7 linked regions of the Rattus norvegicus genome follow. The protein of the gene in region 4 interacts with the protein of the main gene of each other region in a biochemical or structural test. Links are inferred from orthologs where the notes say so. Each region holds a gene or a part of one and is shown on either strand. Other genes may lie near its edges.

Evidence for each region.
Region 1: of the proteins of Plk1 (region 4) and Racgap1, one has a biochemical effect on the other in vitro, tested with the Homo sapiens proteins (3 studies listed by BioGRID and IntAct, with this or other methods). The link is inferred for Rattus norvegicus from reciprocal best matches to the Homo sapiens genes PLK1 and RACGAP1.
Region 2: of the proteins of Plk1 (region 4) and Csn2, one has a biochemical effect on the other in vitro, tested with the Homo sapiens proteins (3 studies listed by BioGRID). The link is inferred for Rattus norvegicus from reciprocal best matches to the Homo sapiens genes PLK1 and CSN2.
Region 3: the proteins of Plk1 (region 4) and Nedd1 form a complex in vitro, tested with the Homo sapiens proteins (2 studies listed by BioGRID). The link is inferred for Rattus norvegicus from reciprocal best matches to the Homo sapiens genes PLK1 and NEDD1.
Region 5: the proteins of Plk1 (region 4) and Klhl22 form a complex in vitro, tested with the Homo sapiens proteins (2 studies listed by BioGRID, with this or other methods). The link is inferred for Rattus norvegicus from reciprocal best matches to the Homo sapiens genes PLK1 and KLHL22.
Region 6: the proteins of Plk1 (region 4) and Pin1 form a complex in vitro, tested with the Homo sapiens proteins (3 studies listed by BioGRID, with this or other methods). The link is inferred for Rattus norvegicus from reciprocal best matches to the Homo sapiens genes PLK1 and PIN1.
Region 7: the proteins of Plk1 (region 4) and Wee1 form a complex in vitro, tested with the Homo sapiens proteins (2 studies listed by BioGRID, with this or other methods). The link is inferred for Rattus norvegicus from reciprocal best matches to the Homo sapiens genes PLK1 and WEE1.

What each region holds. Positions count from the first base shown.
Region 1 is NC_086025.1:132,629,831-132,632,784, reverse strand, and holds the end of Racgap1 (rac GTPase-activating protein 1), read left to right. Parts: intron 1-819; coding exon 820-925; intron 926-1,966; coding exon 1,967-2,042; 3' UTR 2,043-2,454; downstream 2,455-2,954.
Region 2 is NC_086032.1:20,600,541-20,604,623, reverse strand, and holds the start of Csn2 (beta-casein precursor), read right to left. Parts: upstream 2,801-4,083; 5' UTR 2,761-2,800; intron 1,094-2,760; 5' UTR 1,082-1,093; coding exon 1,031-1,081; intron 312-1,030; coding exon 285-311; intron 167-284; coding exon 146-166; intron 1-145. UniProt on the Homo sapiens protein: Important role in determination of the surface properties of the casein micelles.
Region 3 is NC_086025.1:29,158,835-29,162,838, forward strand, and holds the start of Nedd1 (protein NEDD1), read right to left. Parts: upstream 2,801-4,004; 5' UTR 2,764-2,800; exon of another isoform or gene 2,651-2,763; intron 363-2,650; 5' UTR 355-362; coding exon 219-354; intron 1-218. UniProt on the Homo sapiens protein: Required for mitosis progression. Promotes the nucleation of microtubules from the spindle.
Region 4 is NC_086019.1:186,154,158-186,157,657, reverse strand, and holds the end of Plk1 (serine/threonine-protein kinase PLK1), read right to left. Parts: exon of another isoform or gene 2,305-3,500; coding exon 2,149-2,304; exon of another isoform or gene 1,346-2,148; coding exon 1,268-1,345; exon of another isoform or gene 1,088-1,267; coding exon 933-1,087; exon of another isoform or gene 836-932; coding exon 653-835; exon of another isoform or gene 522-652; coding exon 318-521; 3' UTR 21-317; downstream 1-20. UniProt on the Homo sapiens protein: Serine/threonine-protein kinase that performs several important functions throughout M phase of the cell cycle, including the regulation of centrosome maturation and spindle assembly, the removal of cohesins from chromosome arms, the inactivation of anaphase-promoting complex/cyclosome (APC/C) inhibitors, and the regulation of mitotic exit and cytokinesis.
Region 5 is NC_086029.1:96,733,216-96,737,402, forward strand, and holds the start of Klhl22 (kelch-like protein 22), read right to left. Parts: upstream 2,801-4,187; 5' UTR 2,770-2,800; intron 2,665-2,769; exon of another isoform or gene 2,431-2,664; coding exon of another isoform or gene 2,209-2,430; intron 1-2,208. UniProt on the Homo sapiens protein: Substrate-specific adapter of a BCR (BTB-CUL3-RBX1) E3 ubiquitin ligase complex required for chromosome alignment and localization of PLK1 at kinetochores.
Region 6 is NC_086026.1:27,464,254-27,468,441, reverse strand, and holds the start of Pin1 (peptidyl-prolyl cis-trans isomerase NIMA-interacting 1), read right to left. Parts: upstream 2,801-4,188; 5' UTR 2,795-2,800; coding exon 2,737-2,794; intron 1-2,736. UniProt on the Homo sapiens protein: Peptidyl-prolyl cis/trans isomerase (PPIase) that binds to and isomerizes specific phosphorylated Ser/Thr-Pro (pSer/Thr-Pro) motifs.
Region 7 is NC_086019.1:173,616,041-173,619,540, reverse strand, and holds part of Wee1 (wee1-like protein kinase), read right to left. Parts: intron 2,579-3,500; coding exon 2,432-2,578; intron 1,192-2,431; coding exon 1,096-1,191; intron 1-1,095. UniProt on the Homo sapiens protein: Acts as a negative regulator of entry into mitosis (G2 to M transition) by protecting the nucleus from cytoplasmically activated cyclin B1-complexed CDK1 before the onset of mitosis by mediating phosphorylation of CDK1 on 'Tyr-15'.

The sequences.
Region 1 (2,954 bases), on a different chromosome or scaffold from region 4:
TCCTCGGCGAGAGTTCAGCGCCATTCCGGGTTCCACGAGGCCCTCTCTCAACCCCTCTAATCGGTGTGCACCAGCTTGGACGTTCCATCAGTGTTTCAGAGTTACATGTATTCCATCCAGCGTGATGGAATTCCCAGGGTTTAGTCCTGCTTTGGGTGTGTTAGCGTGTTTTATTGATTTGGTTTCATTTTTGATTCTTTCCTTCGGAGCTGGGGACCGAACCCAGGGCCTTGCGCTTCCTAGGCAAGCGCTCTACCACTGAGCTAAATCCCCAACCCTGGTTTCATTTTTGAAAAATGTTATGTGTGGTGCACATGCCATGGTGCATTGGTGGAGCCCGAGGACAACTTGGGGGAATTGGTTTTCTCCTCCCACGATGTGTGTGGGTCTCAGGGACCGTCGTGCCTTTGCCTGGGAGCCGTCTCACTGGGTCTGATTCTGGTGTGACTTTGCCATTTCTGCTACCATTTGAGTGGAATGGTTTTATCCCCACCAAATAGACCTATTAAAAGTGTCTTTTTAAGGAAAGTGTCTTGTTTTTTGTAGTATATGTAAAAGTCAAATGTTCAGATGTCAGAAGTGTGAGGTTTGGAGTTTGGGAATTGTCTGAATCAGGAAGTGAGTGTCAGCTGTTCATTGAGTAGTTGCCTGGATGGTTCAGAAGACTCAGGAGCCAGTTACCACAAAAGGGCAAAAATGGCCTGTGAGCTGCTACACGTCTAACTTTCAGAGGCTAGTCAGCTAAAACCATCCCTCGTCAAAGGTACTTTCTTTATTTTTCCAAATTCACTTAAAAATATGTCTCAATTTTATTTCAAGTGAGCTTATTGGGGCCTGTGACCACTCCTGAATTCCAGCTTGTCAAGACTCCTTCATCAAATTCCCTGTCACAGAGATTGTACAACCTCTCCAAGAGCACACCCAGGTATGCAGAACTTCTCAGGGGTATGTGTGCACATACTCGTGTGTGTGTGTGTGTGTGTGTGTGTGTGTGTGCGCGCGTGCGCGTGTGCGTGTCTGTGCGTGTGTGCATGTCTGTGTGTGTGCGAGTGTGCGTGCGTGCGTCTCTCTGTGTGTGTGTCTCTGTGTGTGTGTCTGTGTCTGTCTCTGTGTGTGTGTGTGTGTGCGCGTGTGTGTGTGTGTCTCTGTGTGTGTATGTGTGCGTGAGTATGTGTGTGTCTGTGTGTCTCTGTGTGTGTGTGTGTCTCTGTGTGTGTGTCTCTGTGTGTGTGTGTGTCTGTGTGTGTGTGTCTCTGTGTGTGTGTGTCTGTCTGTGTGTGTCTCTGTGTGTGTGTCTGTGTCTGTGTGTGTGTGTGTGTGTGTGTGTGTGTGTGTGTGTGTGTACTCCTGCATGAGTTGCAGCAGCATGCTGGGGTAGAGCATACCTTGTAAGAATCAACTCTCTCCTACCGTGTAGTTCCTAGGAGTTGATTCAGGTCTTCAGGTTTGGGGACAGTAGTTTATTGAAGGTGTATTGGTGTATATGCCTGCAGTCCTCCAACAGTTCTAGCATTTGGGAGACTGAGACAGGAGAATCACCAGGAGTGCAAGGCCAGCCGGGGCCTTATCTAAAGAAGTAAATGAAAAGAATAACTGAAGTAGAAGTGGAAACCTCAGATGAAGGGCTCTGCGGTGACCCTGGGACCCACCCTGCTGGGTCAGTAACACCTTACCGAATAGCTCCCTAGGCAGTTCCCATGCTTAGTTTTATATCAAGTAACATAATTGTTATTCAGTATTTTTTATAGAATGTTTTTTAAAGAATGTGTACTTACCTGCATGTGTGATGCCTGCACTGGAGCACCCACCTGGAGAACAACCTTTAGAGTTAGTTCTTTCCTTCCTCCTTTGTGGGCTGTAGGGATGGATCTCAACTTGTCCGGGTTCGCAGTAATCACCTCTTTGTGGTGTCACTCACCAGCCTGTAGAGCACTTTTCTCAGCCGTTCTCTCTAATTTATTTTTAGATTTGGGAACAAGAGCAAGTCTGCCACCAACTTAGGTCAACAGGGCAAATTTTTCCCTGCTCCGTACCTCAAGTAAAGCTGTTTCTGCCTACTGTCTGCCTACTGCAGGAGACACACCTGTTCGCTCCTCAGCTCCTGTGTAATTACTACTTTTAGCATTTTCCAGGCTTTAAATAAAGTTTAATGTATATGAGAGTTTGATTATTACATAGCTCCCTCTCACCTGGTGACCTAGCACCTCGTAGAGTTGTTGGGAGCTTTAAAATGGAGCTTTCTGCAGGGTAGAAGGACAACGGGAATCGACTATGGCTCTTCTGGGGGGGGAGGGGGATCTCTTAGGCTTAAAGCCAGATACAGCTCGTGAAATGACTGGTCCTGTGGTGTCTCTTAGACAGTGACAGAAACTGTGCCTCTTAGGTAAACCTGAATTATCTCGGGACAAGAGGTTTTGGGACAAGATAAAGAACTACACAGAGGCCACAGGATGGCCCCTTCTCAGAAGCCAGGTCCTCTTCTCCTTCAGGGAGTGACACATGGCCGGGAGCCCTCTGCGGCGGGTAGGCCGAGGCACTGATCTGAGGATACTCACTTCTAACTGGGTTAAGTCTGAGTTGTAGAAAGTGCTAGAGGCTATGATCCCACGTGGCGTGTAGTCTCTAGTCAGCCTCAACCTGGACTTTGTTTGCAGTTGATTGGGGTCAAAGCCAGATTGGTTTAAAGCCTGATTCATTCTGACGACTGACCCCTTGTCCTTTGTCCAGTGGAGCCTATTTAAAAAGCCAGCTAATAGTTCAGAAGATTGTCTATTTTCATACAGCGAGAACGTTAGTTGCTTCTGTCTTTGCACTTTAGGTGGTGAGCTTTTTCCAGACATGTGTATGTAAGCATTGGTTTTTTGGTTAGCATTTTCCAGTGTCTAAAATGGCTTCCTTCCCTGGGATGTTTTCTGATACTCATACTAACCCTTATCTGTAAGACATGTATTTGG
Region 2 (4,083 bases), on a different chromosome or scaffold from region 4:
CGCTATCCTTCATGAGGAGAAAATATTTTTCTCCTCCTAATATCATGTAAAGGGTATTTACTTAAGAAGCATATGGGTGTGAGCAACACAATATAACTCAACAGAAAGATGGCAATTTGCTGCCTCTGAGAGACAATTGCCTTACCTCACTGGAAATACTACCAGTCTGTAAACAAAAAAATACATACATATATATGTTAAATTATAGATCCAATTAGGACTTCAAGATCATTAAAAATGTAGTAATCTTAGAGTTGGAAATTTGTCTCAATAAAAACTCTTACCTCAGAGGACACAGTGAATGCATCCTTCTGTAAAAGCAAACAATTAAAAACATTATGTTACTATATCAACCCTGTTATTAAACATACTTTCTGCTTGATTTGCATGTCTTTTTATCTCTTTCAGAAATAAAAAAATTGATATATGGCTTTCATAATCTTGAAAACTTATATTTACAATCTCTTTGATATTTTAATAAGTTTTTATAGGTACATTATTATATTACATAAAGGTGTACATAAACTTTGACGGCTGGCAAAAGTTACTTTGCTTTCCACTAAACACTTTCTTATTATGCCTATGACTCTACTCAGAGCATGGCCACAATTCTGGATTGTATTTCCTCCTCTAAATATCTCTTTGGACAGGCACAGTAAGACTTGATCTGCTCATCTAAAGAGGTGCATGCACTTTATCATCAGACTGAGATACTCAAGCTGCACATGTGAGTCTACTTTTGTGAAGTCATGTTTATTTGATGTATTTCTATCGCCTTGCTTCAATTCTTATTTCTGCTTTTGTTGTTGTTAGAGAATTTGTCACACAATAGTGCAGTAAGCACTTATTTCAGCTTGGAGAGCCTACAGGAACTTTGAGACCCTGGGTGATTCTCAAACAAGCGGTGACTAAATAAAGCTATCCCAAACTCTCCATTGATTGCACATTAAAAGCTATCACTGCTGTTATTGTGTATAAGTGAGCAGACTCATCTCTACATCTTAATTACTTAGGAAGCTTCTCTACACACCTCCCTTGCAAGAGCAAGTGCCACAAGGCAGGCAAGGATGAAGACCTTCATGGCTGTCAAGTCCTGTGAATGAAGAGAAGAATTAGAAACAGATTAGTCAGCAACAAATCAGAATCTGCTCTGGTTCTTAAATACTCCTATTACTAAGCCCTACACTCAGACGTCAGCTGCGGCCATCATCAGCGTTCGTCAGTTCACAGCTCCTGCCATTCTTTTCTTTTTTAACTTTCCTTTGCTAACAGTTGCATGGATGCCTTACAAAAGCTATGGAGAATGCATAACTAGCCAAACATTCCACAAGTCATTCATTTTAAACTCCTGAGCACTTACAGGTGGCCAGACAATGAACAAAATATTAATATCTCAGTTCTATGGAGTCTCACATTCACATCTAGAATGAATTAGTAGACAAAGTGTATTAACTGTTTTGTTGCTTGTGAATTATCACAGCATGAAAAAATAAAAATTTAAATATATTTATAAAGCATTCTTTCCAATACTTGAAGGTGGAAAACTATCCCATTAGTGAAAAGAAGTGGGTTTGGTTTTTTGTTTGTTTTTCTGATGTATGTTGTATTATTCATTATCAACACTTTGTCTGAAGCTTCCTCCATGGGTTTCCACATAATCCAATCATCCTAGATTAAAAGAAAGTTGTGTCTTTGTGTATTTTAAATGTGGGGAGAATACCACTGCAGTTCTTGTATTTAAACCTTGGCATTTTATACACCAATTTTAAACCAGAACTTCACTGTTATGTGGTATGTTCTAAGCTACAGTTCTTTCAACTCATCTTACTTCAATGATCACTAGTTCTAAGTGAGTTCTGATAAAGACTGAAGGAGCTGAAGGGGTTTACAACCCCATAGGAAGAACAACAATATCAACCAACCAGACCCCCCAGAGCTCCCAGGAACTAAACCACCAATCAAAGAGTACACATGGAGGGACCCATGACTCCAGCTGCATATATAGCAGAGGATGGCTTTGACTGGCATCAATGGGAGAAGAGGCCCTTGGTCCTGAGAAGGCTTTATGCCCTAGTGTAGGGGAATGCCAAGGAGGGGAGGAGGAAAGGGGTGGGTAGTTGTGTGGGGGAACACTCTCATAGAATCAGGCTGGGAAGGAATGGAATAGGGGGGTCCTGGAGGGGAAACCAGGAAAGGGGATAACATTTGCAATGTAAATAAATAAAATACCCAATAAAAAAGAAAATAGAAGACTTTGTTTCTATTTTTTACATGGTTTCTAATATTTCTTGTAATACTATGAACTAGATCAAGAATTCCAAGCCCCTGGAAAAGTTTTATGATTACAATTTTCTTGCTTATAAACATGCAGTTTGCTTCTTCCAACAGCTATGCCATAAGTATCTATTTTCCATGATATAATTTGAGTGCATTACACTAGTAAAATACATCAAATCAAATAAGATAGCTTGTGTAGGAGATAATTCTTAGTCTCTCCTTTATAGTAGTCACTGGCTTTATATATTTTTACTACATTTACCCAATTTTATGAAGCCAGGGTCATTATAATTTGTACCAAATTTTTCTAGGCATTTCTGACTTTCAAAAGCCTGTCCTTGAAAATAATCTCACAGTTTTTTAAAATATCTATTTTCAGAAAGCTATATTTTAAGTAAATCTCTTCTTTCTATAACATAGTCTAGTATGGGTTTGAAATAAATAATGAAAATAATATTTCAAACTTACGTCTGAAGTTCTTACCTTTAGCGGAGGACAAGAGAGAAGATGAAGCTCAGAGGATGATGGTCTATCAGACTCTGTGACTGTATATATACCATACTTAATGACATGCTAATTTGTGGTTCGTAAGATATTCAAAAGTCCCTTAATTCCAAGAAGTCCACATGATTAGAAAATGGTTTCTTTCTATTTTCTTTCCCAAGAAATTCTGGGGGACATTAAACAAGGCAGCAATTCAGAAGCTGGTGAAGGAACTTGTCCAGGAAAGGAAATTGTCCAATAACTGGACGTCTCTCCAGCCTAGTACACAGTCCTCAGCACTCTCCCCAGCCTAGTGGGGGGCTTTAACCTCACCTATGTGGCAATGATATAGAGACATCAAAATTCACAAAGCTTTAGAGAGGCCAAGATTTCATCTCCACCTGAGCACTAAGAACTCCATAATGCTAAGATAGACTGGTCATGAGTAGCATACTTTTTGATTGCTCACATTCACCAGATTTGGGAAAATTTAAATACATTCAACTAATATTCAGTACACAGGGGACTGCGTTTTACATAGTATTAGAACAAGTCAGAAAAGGAATCTTTAAGGTTTGTATAAAAGATAAAACTATGAATCTGTAAAAAGAGAAAAGTTTGTAAAACGGGCTTAGAATAAATCAAATTCTTGGCTTAAATAATAAGGCCTCAGAGGTCTACAAACACCAAAAAAGGTATTTCTCTCTGTGTGTGTCTCTCTCTGTCTCTTTTTGTGTACATTTCTCTCTCTCTCTCTTTCTTTCTCTCTCTCTCTCTCTCTCTTTCTTTCTCCTTTCTTTCTGTTCTTTTATTGAAAATAGGCATGTAAATGTATTTACTTAGCAATCAGTTACCTTTTTCTTCAGTTATGATAGTCATAATAGTAATTACAGATACAAACTTTTATCTTTTTAATGCTATGCGTAACAGCCACTAACTACATAATAATCATTATCTTGTCATCTTTTTGCAAAACAACTTGAAGTTGCTTTTTTTTCTCATTATCAACATTTAGGAAATGAAGACACTATATGTACAACTTGCTCAGTCATGTTACATTTAATGATAAAGTTATAATACCCACTCTACATTTGTCTCGCTACAGCTGATTTTTATTTGGTCACATGTAAGTTCCGTGGCCCATACTTTAACTCTTCTGGGATTTTGTCATGAAAAACTCAAACTTAAATGTATTATTTTTGTTTCAATGTATTAATTTAATATATACAATAGAGAAATAATACATATCTGATGAATGTCTTGATGAGTTCTTTAGTTTAGCTAGATCATAAAGAATGAGTAGAATTTTGAAATCAATAAGTA
Region 3 (4,004 bases), on a different chromosome or scaffold from region 4:
CTATTCGGCAAGTTTGAATGAGGTTGAAGTGGGTTGCAACTAAAAAAATTTTTTAAAGCAAATCAACAGAGAAAACTACAGTACATGCATATATACTGTTTTTATCAAGTTTCTTTTTTTTTTTAAAACATAGGTAGCTACACAAATATCTTTATGGGCCAACACAGTTTCACTGATCATTGAAAACTAATAAAAAGTACTTTTTTTTTAAAGGATACTATTGCTGCTCCAACAGATTGAACTGATTCCATGCGGTGACGTGTGGGGGTTGAATTTATCCACCAATGTCAGAAACGAAGCATCCCATATTTTAACATCATCTCCTGATGAGGCAAATCTGAGGTTTTCCTGCATGGCTGAGCCTATAAAAAGTTTAGAACAACGTATTTAAAACGCAGTTAGGGAAAAGCAAATTTTAAAAGCTGAAATGTGCCTGATCTAAAGGCAAGGGGTGTTACTTGTCCTTTTCTGTCAAACAGCATGCACAGTAGTATAAGATGATTTAAACAACAGCCAATCACATACGCTTAGCTCATCCTTCCTAGAATCCCCTCGGCAACCTCCATAAACCCAACCTCCTCCGCCTGCCTTACAGGACAGGAATGCCTGCATGGCTCTCCTACCTCTCTTGCCTGAGGCCGCCAGATCTGACACTGGCTTTCTTCATGTCTATGAACCAAGCCAAGCTCATCCTCGTCTTAGTGTCTCTGCACCTGCTGCCCTACTCTACCTGGAAAGCCACCCCCTACGTCCCCCCCCCCCAAACCATCTCCTAATCATTCGGTCCTCAGTTCAAAACTCTCTGCTTCTAAAAGGTGGGCTCCCCAGGGACTGCGGCAAAAACAGCCCTTTATCAGTGCTACTCTTATTCAATATGCTACCCGATTCAATTTCATTAGCAGAACTTCTGTTGTCTTCATTGTTCCCATAACGATGCCTGCCTCCTCATGAAATATTCCTGACCCATACTAAGTACTTCGCAGAGAAATCTACTAAGTGATGTTCTCATGTATTTTTTTTAATGTATGAGCCTGCCTAGAAGTCTGAATCCTGTTGTGCCAAGTTTTCCAAACTCTAAAATTAACAACAAAGGAAGCTGCCACTGCATATCCTAATACCAAGTCTTGGTCCGGGGCCTCAGTTTTATGCAGTGTGACGTTCCAACACATACATCTGACAAGAGTGATGCCAAAGCCAAAGTAGTCTAGACAGAAAGCAGAGAGGCTGCTCCAAGAACTCTGAAGGGAGGGCAGCAGGTACTGTGGAGGACAGAGTACTTAAACATACACAGGAGAGAAGAAGGCAGAGAAAGATATTCCCACACCCTGGAGGGGTGGTACAAGAGCCTGTTATTATAAGACTGGCAGTGGTGGTGGTGCAGGCCTTTAATCCCAGAAAGAGGCAGGTGGACCTGTGAGTTTGAGGCCAACCCAGTCTGTGGAGCTGGTTCCAGCCAGCCAGGGGCTACACAGAAAAAAATCCTGTCTCAGAAACAAAACAAACAAGCAAGCAAGCAAAAAAAAAAAAAAAAAAAAAAAGTACTATAGTATTATCCAATTAAACTGTTGATAATACAATTTATCCTATTGCCTATGTCTAAAAAACTAATTAGTATACAACGAGTTTGAATGAAGTGAGTTGCAACCAATCTTTATATATACATAAAATCAATGGATAAAGCCAAGGCGCAAGCAGATGTACTATTTTTTAATGTATGTTCCTGTGTGTGTGTCTGTGTGTTTAAATATATTTTTATAGGTCAACAGTTTCATTGATACTTGAAGTCTAATAAAAAGTGGTTACTTTCTTTTAAAATGGGATGTTCCTGTTGCTCCAGCATACTGAACTGATGCCATGTGGTGACATATGGGGGCTGAATTTATCCACCAATGTTACAGGCCAACAGCGGTCACAGACACGCCCCTATATTATCAACAATGCACCACACATATCTCTAATGGGTTCCAGAGGACAAACTAAAAAGGTACCATAGATTCTCAGGAGGGAAAAACAAAAAACAAAAAAACCTAAAGTTTAAGGAAAGGATAAAACGTTTAGCCAGAAACTCCTATGATTTGTTGTTCATATTTTGGGATACAGTCGTGTGGTGGTTCCATGTTAGAACGGCCCCTAGTAGGTGCTGCTAAAAAACGTGTAGAGTCACCTGTTGAGTTGTAGACAATGTTTCTATTTGGTGACTGAAGCATGTACACTATGCCTCTTGTTCCCGGACTCACGGAAAAACACAGGGTAGAAAAGTCGAACTCTTAAGAGCAGTAAACACAACTGCAAGATGTTGCTACCATAACCCAGTGTGGTGCAATGGGTGGATCAAGGTTCCCCCGAAAGCTGAGTTAAGCGACCCACACAGCTTCAGTGATGCTGACTTCACAAAGTCGTCTCAGTTCCCTCGCTTGGCTTCTGGGATCTGACATCAGTCCCCCGAGACGATCCCGTGAAAGAAGAGCGACAGCGACCAACTGCACACTCTGCTAAAGAAGAGTTCTCTGGGGTCGCACCCCTAGCCCAGGGCGGCTGCGCTACGCAGGAGAGTCAGACCCGAGTGTCGGGGTGAGCGAGCAGCCCGGGATAGCTCGGCCCGTAGGTCCCGGGCCCGCGACCTGGTCCTATCCCGTCCCGGGCCACTCACCACCGCGCGCGCCCGCAGCCGCCCAGCGCAGGACGGAGGACGCTGACTTCGGGGTCCCCCGCCTAGGGCTGCGGTGCTTGCTCACAGAGACCCCCTGTCAGGCGGAACCTCACCTCTCAAGCGTGGGACCACAGGGGGGCCCGGCTCCACCCGCTCTTTCGCTGCGCTTCCGGCTCCCGCCTGGACTGTTAAACTTAGGCGGCCGGAAGTCCCGCCTCACATGACGTCACGGAGAGGCGGTGCCGCGGGCGCTCCACCAGCGCTTGCTGGGTGGCAGCCCACGCCGGGGTGGTGCAAAGAAGTTTTCCTAACCTGTAGCTACTACTCCTTTGTCGCTCATTTGTTTGTTGTCTACTGTGTGCCAGGCACCTAGTTAGGCTGTGGGTGTGCACTGCTGGGTTTAGCTTGAAGGGACAAGAGATCAGTCAATATGCAGGTCTCTGGCCTGATGGAGATTACAGTCTAGTGTAGGAAATTAGTATTAACAATTCTATAGAGAAAGGGAAGACAAAAGACGGGGGAGTTCGAGACGAATGCTGGCTACTCTCAGTTCCCACAAAAAGGTGTCACAGTTTTATCACAAGAACACTCTTAATAAAGGCAGTTAACATGGATGTTGGTTTAAGAGAGGATATATAGAAGAGGGAGCCATGGAAAACCATGGATTAAACATCTGATTTAAAAGAGGTGTAGTGGTACGTGTCTTTAATCCCAACACTCCCGGGAGGCATTGGGATCTATGTGGGTTTGAAGCCATCCTGGTCTACAGAATGAGTTCCAGGCAGTTATACAGAGAAACCCAGTTTCAAAAAAGAAAGAGGGGAAGACATGGGGGAGGGAAGTGGGGTAGGAGTGGGAGAAGGAAAGGAAGGGAGGCGGGAGAAAGGGAGGGGAGGGAAGCGGAGGAGAGGAGAGGATCATCTAACCCAAAACGAACCCTAACTCTGAGAATAAACCCAACGGTGACGTAAGCCTCTGAGCTAGCCGTCTTCAAATGCCAAACGTCACATGCTGCGATCAGTTACATGAACACCAGCTCAGTGGTTATTCTTTTGAGGGAATTTGTCTCATGGTAGAAAGGGGCCGATGAACTGAGTTTTCCAAAAGTCTTGCTAAAAGGTTGCTCCGTTGACAGTGTTCACAATGTTTACAGTGTTGACAGTGATTACTTCCATCACTGATAGGGGGTTTCTATGGAAAATGTCACTCCTTGGTCCCAGGTGTACACAGGATGTGTTTCTGAACTGCATACATAATGTCCCGATCACCTAAACTCATATCACAAGCAACTGGAAACCTAAGATATGCCAATCCCCACTCTCAGGAGAAAAGGAAGTTCTCTATCCAGCCTCTG
Region 4 (3,500 bases):
AGAAATATAGGACCAAAAAAAGAGAGAGATGTACAAATATTTAATATATATAAAGCTAAGGAAAGGGCAGTCCCAAATTCAATAGAAATATTTATACAGTTCATACAGTGGGCCGAGGGCAGGGAACAGGCTGCAAACCCACACCCAATCATGTACAAAATAACTTACACACAGCAACCCCTTCACAGGGGGCACTGCTCCCTGCCAGCCCCCAGGGCCAGGGGCACTGAACAGCGGCCCCAGGAGCCCAGTAGTGCAGGCCCAGAGCTAGCAGAGCGCTAGCAGAATGAAGGGGCACCAGTCCGAAGGACGGAGACCTAGGAGGCCTTGAGGCGGTTGCAGGCGGAACGCGAGCTCAGCAGCTTGTCTACCATGGTGCGGGCATAGCGGAGGCGGCTAGCCAGTTCCTTGCAGCAGCCATATTCCTCCAGAAGGCTCAGGCGGTATGTCCGGAAGTCCCTCTTCTCGTTGATGTAGGTCACTGCTGCCATCAGGGGGCACAGGATAAGTTTGGTGTGGTCCTAGGAGGGAAGGAGGGAGCAAGAGAAGAGCTCAACTGGTGCCCAAGGGGAGGGGCAAAAGTGAGGAAGGCACCCCACTGGTGAAAGAGACAACATTGCCAGCCCAAGTACAGGCCCCTCCGCCTGCACACCTGGAAGAAATTAATCTGTACTGTGCCATTGCTGAGGTGCAGGATGATGGCGCTGCGTGTGCGGAACCATGTTCGTAGGTAGGGCAGCCGGGCCAGCTCGTCGCCTTCCCGGGGCGTGATGTTGGCCCCTGCCTTCAACAGGTGTTCACTCATGTAATTGCGGAAATAGTTGAGGAGAGTGATCTAGTTTGAAAAGTTGGGGGAGGGATTTCAGCATGAGGGCCTGACCCTGAGGCAGCCTCATACCCTGCCATGCTACCCCTTGGCAGCCCGAACTCACCTTCTTCATCAAGGAGTTGGGGTGGGAGCTCACAGTGAGGTAGGACTCCGTGCCATCACGCTCTATGTACTGCAGGCTGTCCCCGTCATTGTAGAGGATGAGGCGTGTTGAGTCATTAAAGAGCACTCCCACACTGTTGTCACATAGCTGATAACCTGGTGGCAAGTGGAAGGCTATCTCAGAAAGGCAGGAGGCAGGCAAAGGCCTTGGAATAACTCAGTAGTACAATGCTTGCCTATCATGCAGAAGGCCCGCAATTCTCATCCCCCCTCCCCCTCTCAGAGGCTACCACAGTCACACCATCCCCTGCCCATTCCACATTCCGGGGCACCTACCAAGGCCATACTTGTCCGAATAGTCTACCCATTTGCTGACCCAGAAGATAGGGATGCAAGCAGGATCCTCGGCCTCCTCTGGAATAGAAACAGAACACAGGTGAGGTCAGTCCCTTCCCTTTCCTCTCATGTAGCCCTCCCCAGGGGAGGACTCTAGGCACCCATGAAGCTGGAGGAGGAGCCTGACAGCACAAGCCCGACACCCAATTGGAAAACTGCAGCTCAGGATGCCAAGGCCCACTTTATTGAGTGAGCCCCTTTACTCTAGGCCTACTGCGACCCATGAGCTTTGTAGGTTCGGACAGGAAAAGAAGAAGCAAGCTTCTGGAAGAGCCCACATTCCAACCACAGGGATGAAGAATGTTCAAAGCCTCCAGGCTGCTCCATCATCTGCACCGGGAATGGTAGAAGGCCTAGTGCCCCAGATTAAAGCGAGGAGAAACAGTTGACCCGGCAACCCCTGCCTGCAATCCTAGAACAGCTCACTGTACGAGTCCCTGCTGCAAAGACACGAATGTGCTTGCTGGGAAGAAATGCTATAGAGAACTAAGTCAGGTTTGGAAGTAATGGCAGCAGGTGTCAGGGCAGTGACACTGGGTACAAAAGCCCTGAGTCTGGAGCTGATCTGAGTCTCTGGAGGGATTAATTCCCTGAGCAGTATGTGCAGCTATACAGAGATGGCCTATCAATCAGCCACCTACAAGATGAGATGGAGCAGAAAAGTGGGCAGAAAGAACACTAAGGGGCCCGTGGGTGTCAGACTAACTCACCTAGATTTTGATCTATAAGAAATGGACAGAGCAAAGGTCATGTGGGCCTGAGTGCTCTGCTGGCCAAGATGCCCTGCCTTCCCCAGATGTGCAGACCCCTGTAGCACTCACCTTGCCGCACCAGCCCTCGCTCTGAGGGCTTGGAGGCGTTGACACTGGTCAGCTGCTGTAGCAAGTCACTAAGGTGGCACTCGATGGCCTCATTTGTCTCCCGAACCACTGGTTCCTCTTTCTCTCGGGGACGGTCAGGCAGGGGGTTCTCCACACCTGAGAAGGTTAACTCAGTCACCTGGCAGACACAGAACGAGCACTCTTCCCAGAGCACTCTAACTATCACCCATGTGGGAACACAGCACCCGTCTGAGTGACAGGTATGTGGTGCATACTGAGAGGGTGACAAGCTTCAGGTCTGTGACCCAACAACCTGGCTTTCCAGGACAGCAGCTGCTGCTGTCACTCAGGGAGGCAACCTGAAGGTACCAGTGACTCAAAGCTGCACCAATCCAAACACAGAGTGGAGGGCACTTGGAGCACCCAGGAAGGTGGAAGGATGGGTCAGTGTATTGCAGGATGGACTCCTTTTAAATAAAGCCTCAGCAGCTTTATTTCTACTATAACCCCTTGCTTTGTGTGTTTACAAATGGCTGGAGTCTAATGAGATGCACACTGAAGCATTAAGTTGGTCTACAGTGGCCAGGGGCTAGCTTTACATTTGACTGGTTTGTTTCCCCAAACCAGGAGAACTAAAAAATAAACCCTATGGTGCATTAAGAACTTAAGGGTGAAATAAAATATTCAGGATTTGATTTTAAAACTAGCCAAAAAGGGGTTGGAAAGATGGCTCAGCAGTTAAGAACACTTGCTACTCTTGCCAAAGACCTGGGTTTGGTTCCCAGAACCCACATGGAGGCTCACAATCATGTGTAACTCCAGTCCCAGGGGATCTGATACCATCTTCTGGCCTCTGTGCTCACCAAATATGCACGTGGTGCACAGACATACATACATGCAACAAAACACATATACACAGTTAAAAAACAAAACCTAGCAAAAACGAGTGTTTATGGAATATGTAAAATCAAGCCTGCCCAAATCTAACTGCTGGTAATGAAGGAGGAATGAATACCCCAGGGCCAGATAACACAGTTCTCTGCCTTCGGGAGAGCTTGAGAACAGTTTACAGAACAGACTCTTTTACTACTTTCCTGTATAAAACAGCAGTATTTTAACCACCACCACCCAGTAAGATAGGAATCCACAGGCTCAGCACTATAGGAAAGGAGAACAAGAAAAGGGAGCTGGACTCAGTGAAAACTTGATTAATAGAGGGCATGACTAGCATGAATTAGATTTTCAACTGCTCATAAACTAGGAATGGTGGCCCATCCTTGACCGTAATCCTAGTACTCAGGATATAGAGGCAGAAGGAACACAAGTTCAAAGTCATCCTTGACTACTGTGAG
Region 5 (4,187 bases), on a different chromosome or scaffold from region 4:
TACTGAACCATTTTGCCAGCCCTCAAATATGTGTATTTTAAAATGAAAAATAGATGTCAAGGGAAATCAAATCTAGCCCAAAAGCCTTCTTACTGAAGGAGCACATTTCTCCCCACCCTCACCTCCTCTTCAGGACCCACGTGCTCTCAAGTCTCTCCTGCCTCCCATCACCGTGCCTCCTTCTCTTCCATCCCCTGGATGCTGGGGCTCTATTGGCTTACCCACACCTTCATTCTACCTGAACCAGATGCCTTCTCACAAGGCCCTAGAGATGGTTAGAGCTTATGTCTTGGCAACTGTTTCTGGGTTAGGATCTCTCCAGCCTGGAACTCTGCTGTAAAGTAATTCCTCCTCTCCTGACTTCTTCCTTTCCTTCAATCCATCCATTCCCCAGGACATGCATTCCCAATGGCATCTCCAGCCAGAATCCCTCCTAATTGGTCTGTTTTTGTCAGTTGCATGCTCCATTTCTACCTGAAACCTCCTAATCTCCATGATCTCTTTTCCTTCTTAAGCTTATGTTTTGTAAGATCCTTTGGTCTTGATTCTACTCCTGTATCTTGCACAGCCATCCCCTTATTTTTTCCAATGGCCACAGTTTGGAGTCAGAGCATAGAAATGTTGTTCCAAAGGATTTCCCTAACTCTCGCCTCATTACCCTGTGCCATCTCCCCACTTAATACTCAAAGGCTTTCTTCCTTCTCCTGCCTGCCACATTACCAGTTCTTAGACCCACAGGAACACCTGCAATCCTCTAACAGAACTATGTTCGTTTCTCATAGTACTATTCTGGCCATGATCTAGTTGATCACATCTACCTAGAGCCTTCATACAATCTCAAAAAACATGCTCTGGTAGGGAACCAGTCTTCTCTACCCTTGACAGTTTGTCTCCCAAGCACCTCAAGGTTAGTTTCTATGGCAATATCTGCTAACCAGACTCTGGCTGCTACCTTCAAACCTCAGCGTCCTGGAAGGCTTCCCCATCTGTGGATGATTAATTGCCTTAACAGACACTGACTAGGGGCTGGGGATTTAGCTCAGTGGTAGAGCGCTTACCTAGGAAGCGCAAGGCCCTGGGTTCGGTCCCCAGCTCCAAAAAAAAAAAAAAAAAAAAAACCAGACACTGACTCCCCCCCCCCCCCCCCGCAATGCACATGTTGGGGTGGTCTCCATTGCTGTCAGCTGAGCAGCCTGCCTGCCCTCTTGGAAATATCATCTACTCTCTAAACAGCCACCACAAAAACAAGTACAGTAAAACAGGATGGCTACTCCTTTGGATAGGCAGAGCACATTTACTAAGCTCAAGAAAAGAAATTCAGTACAACCAAGAGTGCAACAGCATCCAGGATCTCTGGTATAGTAACAGATCTGTAACTCCAGCACTCAGGAATGCTGATACAAAAAGATCACAAAGTTGGAAGCCAGCCTACAATATGTAGACTTGTCATAAATAAATAAGGAACAAGTAGGGTTAGAGAGAAGGCTCAGTGCATTTAACACAAAACTATTTGTTCAGAGAACTGGAGTTTTGTTCCCAGCACTGACATCCGGTCGAGATGCTCTCTGCTGGTCTCCAGAGCCTTCACTCCTTCACCCAGGTGCACATACAGACACTTGTTTTTTCAAGTGTCCTGTGTAACAGCCTTCACTGTCCTGGAGTTCTGTTGATCAGGCTGGCCTCGAACTCACAGAGATCTGCCGTCCTCTGCCTCCGGAGTACAGGGATTAAAGGCAGGTGTCACCACACCTGTCTTCACTCTTTTTAACGACAAAAAATTAAGGAGACTCTAGTGACTACATATCTTCAATATTCCTCTTCACTTTCCATTTGCTTCGGCTTATAACTTCATGCTTCTCACGCGTGTAAACACGCTTTATTTAAGGGCCCCTAGTCAAGATATCTGGGTTTCCTATCCAAACAGCCATACACTGAAACATATTTTAGAGGAATCTTCAACGAACATTTACTAGAAAGGCATCCTTAATCTTCTGTAGGGGCTCCCATTCAGTATCTGTCCTCAACTTATCCGTATCACAACGCAACATGTGCAACAAAAGAAAAACCAGCAGCTTGGAATGAGAAAGAGTGGGTCCTTATTTCCACGGGGGGGGGGGGGGGCGCGGAGAGTCTCCAAGAGGTGCTGACGTGCTCTGTGGCTAGTTCCCTAGAGCACTGACTAGGAGCATTTCGGGGATCAGGCCTTACCCTAGGAAGCTGCCGCGGGTAGAAGGTGGCCCCGTTGCGCCCGGACAGGTCCGTTCGTTCGGCCTGTACAGGATCTAAACTAGTACATCCCGGGGATTTTGCACTGACAGCGCGAGCTCTCCGGCTTCTCTCAACAACCGCAGCAGCGGCTGAAGAGCCTGAGGTCACGCCGGGAGCGGCAGCCAGGCCCGCCCTGCCGCCTGTTGCAATCCCTGCTCCCATAGCTTCGAGGGACCCGGACAGGCCGGAGGCCACACTCGGACCCACGACTGGCTATAGAGAGTGGTCGACTGGGCTGCGAGGGCCACGGTCCGCCTCAGCCACGCGCAGGCCTCCGCCAGCCCGCGCCACGGCGCCAGGCCCGCGCCGGACGCCCTAGGGTCGCCCGGCCGGGCCCCCGCCACGTCAGGCAGTCGCCCGCGCCCTCCCCAGGCGCCCGTGATACTTGGCCCGTATCCCCGCGTCCGCCGCTGTCCCCGCTCCCTCTCCCATCCCCGCGTGCAGCGCAAGCTCGGCGACGAAGGCCTGCCAGGCCCACACGGTTCATGCCTCGCAGCTGACCTGGTGCTGCCGCAAGCTGTGGCCGCTCTCGCAGCAGGCGGGAGGCGGGAGGCTGGAGGTGGGGGCGGAGCCTCACCGTCACGTGTGATGCTGCGCAGGCGCAAGTGGACTACAGGGGGATCGCTGCGGGGCGGGGCGGAGCGAGGCCGAAGAGCGGGACTGGGGCTACACTGTCGTTGGACCGCTGGTCAGGAAACGCCACCCTAGAAGTGCCTTTTGGAGGTGCAAATTTATGCCCTTCTTTCCCTTCCTCCTTGCCTCATTCTTACCCTCACTCATTCTCTCATAGCTTCTTTGCTTGCTTGTCTCTTCACACCTAATCACTTACCCTCTCCCTCATTGCCTCCTTCCTCCCCTCACTCTCCTCTCTCATTCATTTCGTTTCTCCCTGCATTATTTCCTTCTATTCCTCATCGCGTATTCATTACTTCACTCATTGCTTCACTTGTCCCCTCCTTCTCGCTTCTTCCTTGCTCCCTACGTCGCTCCTACCCTCTCGTTCATGCTGTCTTCATTTCCCTCATCCCCTTATTTATTGTCTGAGTTCTTCCCTGTGCCTCTTATTTCTTTCTTCACTGGCCCAGGCATTCGCTTGCTTGTTTCTTCTCTCACTGTACTTTAGACTTTGGAAGGTCGCTCGCCCAGTGCTTTCTCTGGAGAGTGAAAATAAGCAAGGCCTTTATGAACAAGTGTTGATTTTCCTCTTTTCTGAGACTCTAGAGTAAAATCTCAAAACTCAGCTGCCCCTAGCTGTCCTGAGGACACCCACTTTTCTCTGCCTCACCTCCAAGAGGATCACACTCTGAGGGGTGCATACCTATAGCAGAATCCCAGAGGATAGCTGTAGGGCCTTCTTACAAATAGATAGAAGGAAACTGTAGTTTCAATGTGGAGAATGAAAGATAGGGGAAAGATATCACTAAGGAAGCCTCCTCGTGAAAAAGAGGAGAGAAGAAGAAAGTGAATAAAAGAAAGGCTGTTTCAGGTGAACCCTGATTGATGCCTGGAGGCTAGATATGGACCCAGAAGAAAAGATATGGACCCTCTTTCTAGAGAAAGAGGCGCCCAATGTAGGTGGACTTCTACCTATCAGGGCTCCCTGGAGCAAATGACAACACAGCTGGGGACTTTCAGACCATGATAAAAGTATTCTAGCAAGGGATGGTATACATATATAGAATACTTTTATCATGGTCTGAAAGTCCCCAGCTGTGCAAATACAAGGACATGAGATCCAACAAAAAGTAGAAGACAACATTCCCTTGTCATTTCTGGCTATCTAAAAATACAACCAAAACAGGTCACCCTCTAAAAAGTTTTAGAGATGGGGACTAGCAGAATAGGAAGGGATCCCACAATCTTTGCCCCAAAACTAGTTTATATAGTGTGAAGATATTCCCATCCCAAAAGCCTTGGTC
Region 6 (4,188 bases), on a different chromosome or scaffold from region 4:
CAAAAGGTAGAGTATAACTGTTTTTACCCATTGCTTCGTTCCACAAAAACCCAGGCAGCACCTCCCCCTCCTCTGCTCACAGCAGCAGCAGTTGTGTCTTGTGCATAAACAGAGAAAGTTACTCCAAAGCTCCAGTCTTTTTTTTTTTTTTTTTTTTTTTTTGGTTCTTTTTTTTCGGAGCTGGGGACCGAACCCAGGGCCTTGTGCTTCCTAGGTAAGCGCTCTACCACTGAGCTAAATCCCCAGCCCTCAAAGCTCCAGTCTTAACCCCTGCACTGGTAGCCTAAGTCAGAGAGCAAGGGGTAGCATTACTCAGGGCCTGATGTCATCTGAGTGGCTGTGAGGGCATAAAGGAGACAGATGGAAAATCAAAACCTCAAGGGAAAACTCTGGCTTAGTGGAACATGCTGTTTGCCTAGCACTAGGGAGGCTGAGGCAAGAGGATGGATGTCTGCAGATTGAAGCCAGTAAAAGTAAGTTTGCAAGACGGACTCAAAAAAGTGAAAGGTAAAAGAGGAGGAAGGGGTATGGCAGAAGCCTGAAGGAAGGACCCAGTAGATTCTGGGTCACTCCAAGGGCTGAGTCTACCTGGGTTACACAGCTGATCTAGCATAGGAGAAGAGCTGGATGTTACCCATGAAGGAAGGGCTTTTCATAGTCCTACTGAGAACAAATGACAAGCATAACTAAGCAGAGGGGCAGGTATAGGGGTGTGTGTGTGTAAAAGAGTTTCACTATGGGGGCTGGATAGATGGCCCGGAGATTAACAGCACCATCTGCTCCTCTATTGGACTGGAGTTCAATTTCCAGTACCCATGTGGAGGCTCACAACTGTCTCTTCAGGCTTCTTGGTGGGCACTGCATGCATATGGAATACACATGCAAGCCTAATACCCATACATGTATTTTTTAAAAAAGTGTACGTAGCCCAGGACAACCATGAACCAGATCTCCTCCTGCTTCTGCCTAAGTGCTGGAAATACAGCTGTGTGCCACCACACCCAGTTAGAGACAAGTTTATGCTAGAGGTCACAACCCCACCCTAGGAATGGAGCAGCCCAAAGCCTCTGGGGATAAATCCAACTAAAACCTTTGTCAGGTCACCTTCCCTGAACCTCAGCTTTCTCATCTGTAGACTGGGACAAGAGAATAAGGACATCAGAGCATAAAGGCTTATAACTTTAGTCCCAGTGCGTGAGAGGCTGAAGCACAAGGATCATGAGTTGGAAGCAAGCTTGGGCTACACAGCAAGACTTTACCTCTGTGTGATGTAATCCCAGCAGAACACCAGAGGTTCAAGGTCATCCTTGGATAAGTATCGTCTGAGCGCTCATGCTCGCTCTTGCGCACTCTTTCTTTCTTTCTTTCTCTCTCTCTCTCTCTCTCTCTCTCTCTCTCTCTCTCTCTCTCTCTCTCTCACACACACACAAACACACACATCTTAGAAAGGAAAATGGCTCAATGGGTAAGTGCTTGCAGCCAAATCTGACGGAGTTCACAATCTACTCATGGTAGAAGGAAGAAAACTCTTGCAAGTTAAGATTGTCTGACCTTCACATGCACATACATTAAATACAGTATTACTAATATTATTAGTAAAGATTGTTTCAATAAATAAATTGGGCAAAGTGGTGCATGCCTGTAATCTCAGCACTTGGGGGAGCTGAAGCAGGGGGATCAGGAATTCAAGAGTAACCTGTCTTTATGAGGCTCTGTCTAATGCCTTTCCACATCCACTCTTGATAAAAAGGTGGAAAGTGAATGACATTAAACCTAGCTGGGTTCAGAGAGTTAACATATGCAGTGTCCAGAACCTTGATGCTTAATAACTAAGAATTTTGAGTGAGCTCTGTAGGTTGCATTGACCCTGGCTACCTGAAATGCTTGTAGGCTACTCTAGGCGTTGCCACTGACACTGGGAAGGGGACATTTGAGATCAAAAAAAAAAAAAAATCATTGCAATCTAGGGCATTCCCAGTGACTGAACTGCATTATCAGATGAGTTCTTTCCATGTCTGGCCTCAGTTTCTCCCTCTTGAAATATGAGAGCAATTCCTTTCTTGAAAGATGGTAGCAACCGGGGTGTGGGGGGGAGGAGAGCATGAACCAAGAAAAGAGAGGGAGCGAGGGAGGAGGGAGAGGGAGATGGAGGAACAGAGGTGGAGGTGGGGATAGGAGGAAGAGGAAGAGTGGAGAGGTGGGTGGGAGAGAGAGGGAGGGGTGGAAGGAGAGAGTGAGAGAAGGCAGGAGGGAGAGGGGGAGGGGAAGCGGGAGCACACACCGGCGTAGACTTGTAAAAGAACTGAAGTCTTTCAAAGAGTTTGGCACCATGCTTGACCCAGAGACGAACTGTCCTGGTTAGGAGCCATCACTGTCCCTGGGTCCCGATAGGGGGATGAGCGGGCACGTGTCTCGGATGCTGCCCGAGAAACCAGAGCAGGGCGGCCCACGCCCTCTGCACCGAATCCCGATCTTCCTCTCAAGGGAACTCCGAGGTGCAGACTCGTCGCCTCAGAGCACCGGGGCCCAGTGGTGGGCGAGAACCGGGGCGCGCCTGTGCCTGCCCCACCTCCTACCTCAGTATCTGGCTTTCCGGGCCCGTTATGCCGCGGAGGAGGCCAGATCTCCATGCCCGAAGCAGGACGGTGATGCGACTCGCCTGTGCAGGCGAGCTCAAGCCCAACTTCCGCAACCTCCAGGCCTCGCCCCGGGCCCTGGGCGACCCCTAAGAGGTACCTGAGCTGCGACTCATACGCTTCTCCCACCCGGACGGCAGCTTCTCCTCGTCCGCCATCTTCCCTCCTGCCGCAGCGCCTGCTCCGCCTCCGCGGCTCTGACCCCGCGCCAGACCAGCGCCGCTGTTGATTGGCTCATCCAATCGAGACGCCAATTGGACGGCAGCACAACGCCTCGAGCTCTCGAGCCTTTTATTGGGCTCTCCCGCGGCCTCCTGGACCACCCCTACACACACCCTCCACCCACTACCCTCACCTTCCCAACACCGCTACTGATTGGCTCGTCTGGAAGCTACGTCTATTGGATGCTCCAACCCGGCAAGCGGCTCCCTTTAAGCGTCAAAAGGGCGCTCCACCCTTTTTGGTGCGCTTAGCCGATAAAATAGTGCTTATTTGACTGGCTCCTGCGGCAGCCAATCCGGCCTTCTCAAGCCTTTCTCGGAGGTCCGCCAGAATCCACGCGGAAGTGGCCAGCTGGAACTAAGGTACATGGGTGCTTTTGCTGTACTTTGCCGTTGCCATAGCAATGCAGTTGCCTTGGTGACAAAAGGCTAACTATTCAGAGCCTAAATTTGGCTTTTGAGTTCTTCTTCCCACCTTTTCCTCCAGATGTCCAAAGCGAAACCAGTCCTTTTCGGTTTTTGCAAGGCGAACCATTTCACTGGTTTATTCACCCACTTTCCATGTCTTTTTTAGAACCTACTTCGACTTATTCCTTCTCCATGGGCTCCTCCTGACTTCTAGGCAGGTGACTGATGGGTGAGAGCATTACCACTAGACCGAGGAAAGGGGGTAGGAGAGGGTGGGCGGCTCCAACGACCGGTTTTAGTCAACTGGTAGTCTGAGGAAAACGGTGTGTTAATGTATACCTTCAATCCTAGTACTCAGGAGGCAAAGGCAGGCAGTTCTGAGTTCGAGACCAGCCTGCTCTACAAAGTGAATTTCAGCACAGCTAAGGCTACACAGGAAACTTGTCTCAACAAACGAATGAACGAATCAAAAAAAAAAAAAAAAAAAAAAGACAGCTAGAGAGATGGCTCAGTGGTTAAAGCACTAGCTGCCCTTCCATTAGACCTTTCAATTCACCAGACCTGCATGTGGTACACATTCATACATACATGCAGGCAATTCATATATATAAGAATTTTAAAATGTTACTTTATGCCTAGTGCTGGTGGCAAACGCCTTTAATCCTACACTTAGGAGGCAGAGGCAATCAGATCTCTGAGCTTGAGGCCAGCCTGGTGTACAAAGTGAGTTCCAGGACAGCCAGAGCTACACAGAGAATCCCTGTTTCAAGAATTTTTAAAAAATCACTTTAAAAAACTATTACATTTATAAGGGATACCGCCATGAAAGCTGTGTAATCAAGAGGACAATTTGTGGCAATCTGTTCTCTCCTTCCACCATGGGGTTCTGAAGGTCAAACTAAAGTTGTCAGGCTTGGTGGCAA
Region 7 (3,500 bases), about 13 Mb from region 4:
ACAGAAGCTCAGTTAGTAGACAACTTATCTATCATGCACAAAGCCCTGTCTTGTTATCTATAGCCATATAAACCAACTATAACTATGACAACACAGGTCCATAATCCTAGGATTCAAAGTCGAGGCAGAATCCTCAGCTTTCTGGGCTACACAACAAGCTCAAGGAAGCAGACCTGGGATAATGTATACCTAGGATACAGAAAATCCTGTCCCAAAGTAGATAAACATGGGCTGGAGAGATGATGGCTCACAGACAAGAGCTCTTGACGCTCTCACTAAAGACCAAAGTTCTGTTCCCAGCATCCACACAGTAGCTCGCAACTACTTGTTACTGAGTTCCCGGGGATCTGATGCTTCTCCTGGCTTCTTTGGGGACCAAGTATCCAGTGGTGCACTTACATGAGACTATGGAAATGTCTCAGTGGATAAAATGCTTGCCTCACAAGACTAAGGACCACCATTCATATCCCCAGAACCCATGTAAAAGCCAACATAGGAACACATGTTTGCAAACCCAGAACAACATCAAGATGGGAGCTAGAGACAAAAATTTCAGAGGTTCACAGGCTACCTATCCTGGGTATCCAAAGCAGTACACAGCAAAAGACCCCACCTTGGAACAAGGGGGAATATGAGAATACTCAAGCCTGTCCTCTAACATCTACACACGCTGTGGCATAGTCTTTCCCATCATGCCCACTACACCTATGCACACACCCACCCCTAACACCAACCCTTCTTAAAGATTTATTTTATTTATTCCATGTATGTAAGTACACTGTTGCTGTCTTCAGACACACCTGAAGGGACATCGGATCCCATTATGGATGGTTGTGAGCCACCATGTGGTTGCTGGGATTTGAACTCAGGACCTCTGGAAGAACAGTCAGTGCTCTTAACCGCTGAGCCATCTCTCCAGCCCCACACCAACCCTTTTTTTTTTTTTTTGGTTCTTTTTTTTTCGGAGCTGGGGACCGAACCCAGTGCCTTGCGCTTCCTAGGCAAGCGCTCTACCACTGAGCTAAATCCCCAACCCCCACGCCAACCCTTCTTAATTTTAACAGTTATCCCTAATAGTTAACAAAATAGTTTTACCTATTTTAAACATAACTTTGTTGGATATCCAGTCATCTTCATCTCCTTCTTCAGAGACTGCATTTGGGATTGAGGTTCGAGATATAAAAATATTACCTGTTGAATAATAATAACTATATTTAACAAACAAGGCTGAAGTGGAAACTTCTAGTTCTTTGGAAAGTTAGTTATGTCAAATGTTTTGCTGGCAAGTGAAAGGATGCTTGATAAAGTAAACACCTGAAAGAATGTTTTCCTGAAGCAGACACAGGTAAAAGAATGTTTTGATATAGCAAACACATAGAAGGACCTGTGATGGAGTATAAATATGACCCCACAAATAGTGGGAGACTTTGGCATTAACGACACGTGTATTGATTGCCTTGCATAGCATTGTTGAGCTCACAACCTGTGGTAACTCACCAAGAACTGCTTGTGAGGTTCCTGCGGCAGCTTCAGGGTCTGCCTGCTAAAAGAAATGGACTGTAGCTGCCAGTTCATGCCTGGGGTCTGCCTGCCTAGTGGACTGGTCTGCACCCGCTGAGCCATATTTGGTGTTTGCTAAGGGACTGAATTGCTGAAAAAGAAGATCAAGCTTGCCCCTCCCCCGCCCCTCAAAGAACTATTGCTGTACTAGTCGATTTCTCCTTTAGCCTAATAACTTTTGTCTTCTACTACTTCTGCTGAGTGGTGGAGAAGAGGAGAGGTTGAACCCTTATTAAAAGCAGGCTGCAGGCTAGAGCGATGGCTCAGTGGTTAAGAGCACTGACTGCTCTTCTAGATCTGTAATGAGATCTGATGCCCTCTTTGGGTATGTCAGGAAGACAGCTACAGTGTCCTTATAACTAATAAAAAAGAAGTAGAGGGGCAGGAGAAATGGCTCAGCAGTTAAGAGCACTGGCTTCCAAAGGACTAGGGTTCAATTCCCAGTGCCCACATGGCAGCTTACATCTGCCTGTAACTCCAGTTTCAGGGCTTCTGACATCCTCACACAGCAGGATGGATGGATGGATGGATGGATGGATGGATGGATGGATGGATGGATGGATAGATGGATAGATAGATAGATAGATAGATAGATAGATAGATAGATAGATAGATATGCAGGCACACACCAATAAACATAAGATATTAAAGAAAAGAAAAAGTAGCAGGATAACACCTGAAAAGGGTAATGATATAACCAGATGTGGAGCATAGTCCTGAAACAGATACCAATGTAAACAGACCAACTATGAAAGACTTAAAACACTACTTAGTAATCAATGAACAGTAGTAAGAGGCTTTCACATTGTTACAATGAAGTCCTTTATTTCCTATATCCAAGTCACAAACAACACAGCCAAAGCTTACTTACTAGGTTTTATATCCATGTGAACCAAAGACATTGAATGTATGTATCTCAAGCCCCTGCCAACTTGCAAAAGGAGATCCTTCAGCTCTGCTTCAGTAAAGTAGCTCATGACTCTGTAGTTCTCACTTACAGCGTCAGCTAAACTCCCACCTAATGGAGACAGCAATCATCAAACATTTTACTTTCTCATCTCTCTACAGTCCACACCCAGAACATGGTATTTAATAGAATCAATCTCTCGCTTCAACTTTCTTGGGATATCAACTTTTATTTATTGTTTTTGTATGAAATGCATCTGCAATTATAGAAAATAATTTTTTTAAAGATTTATTCATTTATTATATATAAGTCCACTGTAACTGTCTTCAGATACACACGAGGTACAGACAAGGGCATCAGATCTCTTTACAGATGGTTGTGAGCCACCATGTGGTTGCTGGGAATTGAACTCAGGACCTCTGGAAGAGCAGACGGTGCTCTTAACCACTGAGCCATCTCTCCAGCCCAGAAAATAAAATTTAATTGCCAGGCCTAGTGATTAGGCACATAATCCCGGCTTTTGGGAGGCTAAGGTAGGAGGACCACAAATCTGAACCCAGGTTAGGCTACAAACTGAGTTTAAGGTTACCTAGCCCAGACAACTTATTAGGACAGGAGGCAATGCTAGCTAGCTGAACATGTATAGATCCCAGGTTCAATTCTCAGCACTGGGGGAAAACACAATTTAAATTTTCTTTTAACCTATCAACCTCAGCAACCAATTTTTGTTCACTTTCTCAGGATAGATTGTCAAGTTTCTTTTTCTGAGAGGATGGGGCAAGTAAGGCCAATGTACATTTGTTAAGTGAAATGGGGGAGCTGAGAGTAGAACAAGAACCAAGCCATTTTACACAAATCTTTAATCCCTCTGGAGGTAGGGACTGGCAGATATCAGTGAGTTCAAGGCCAGCCTGGTCTACACAGCAAGTTATAGACCAGACTGAGCTACCTAGCAAGACCCTGTCTATAAATAAGAAACTGATTTAAACCAGTAAAGAGTAGAGGGCTGTACTACCTACCTATGTCATTTATT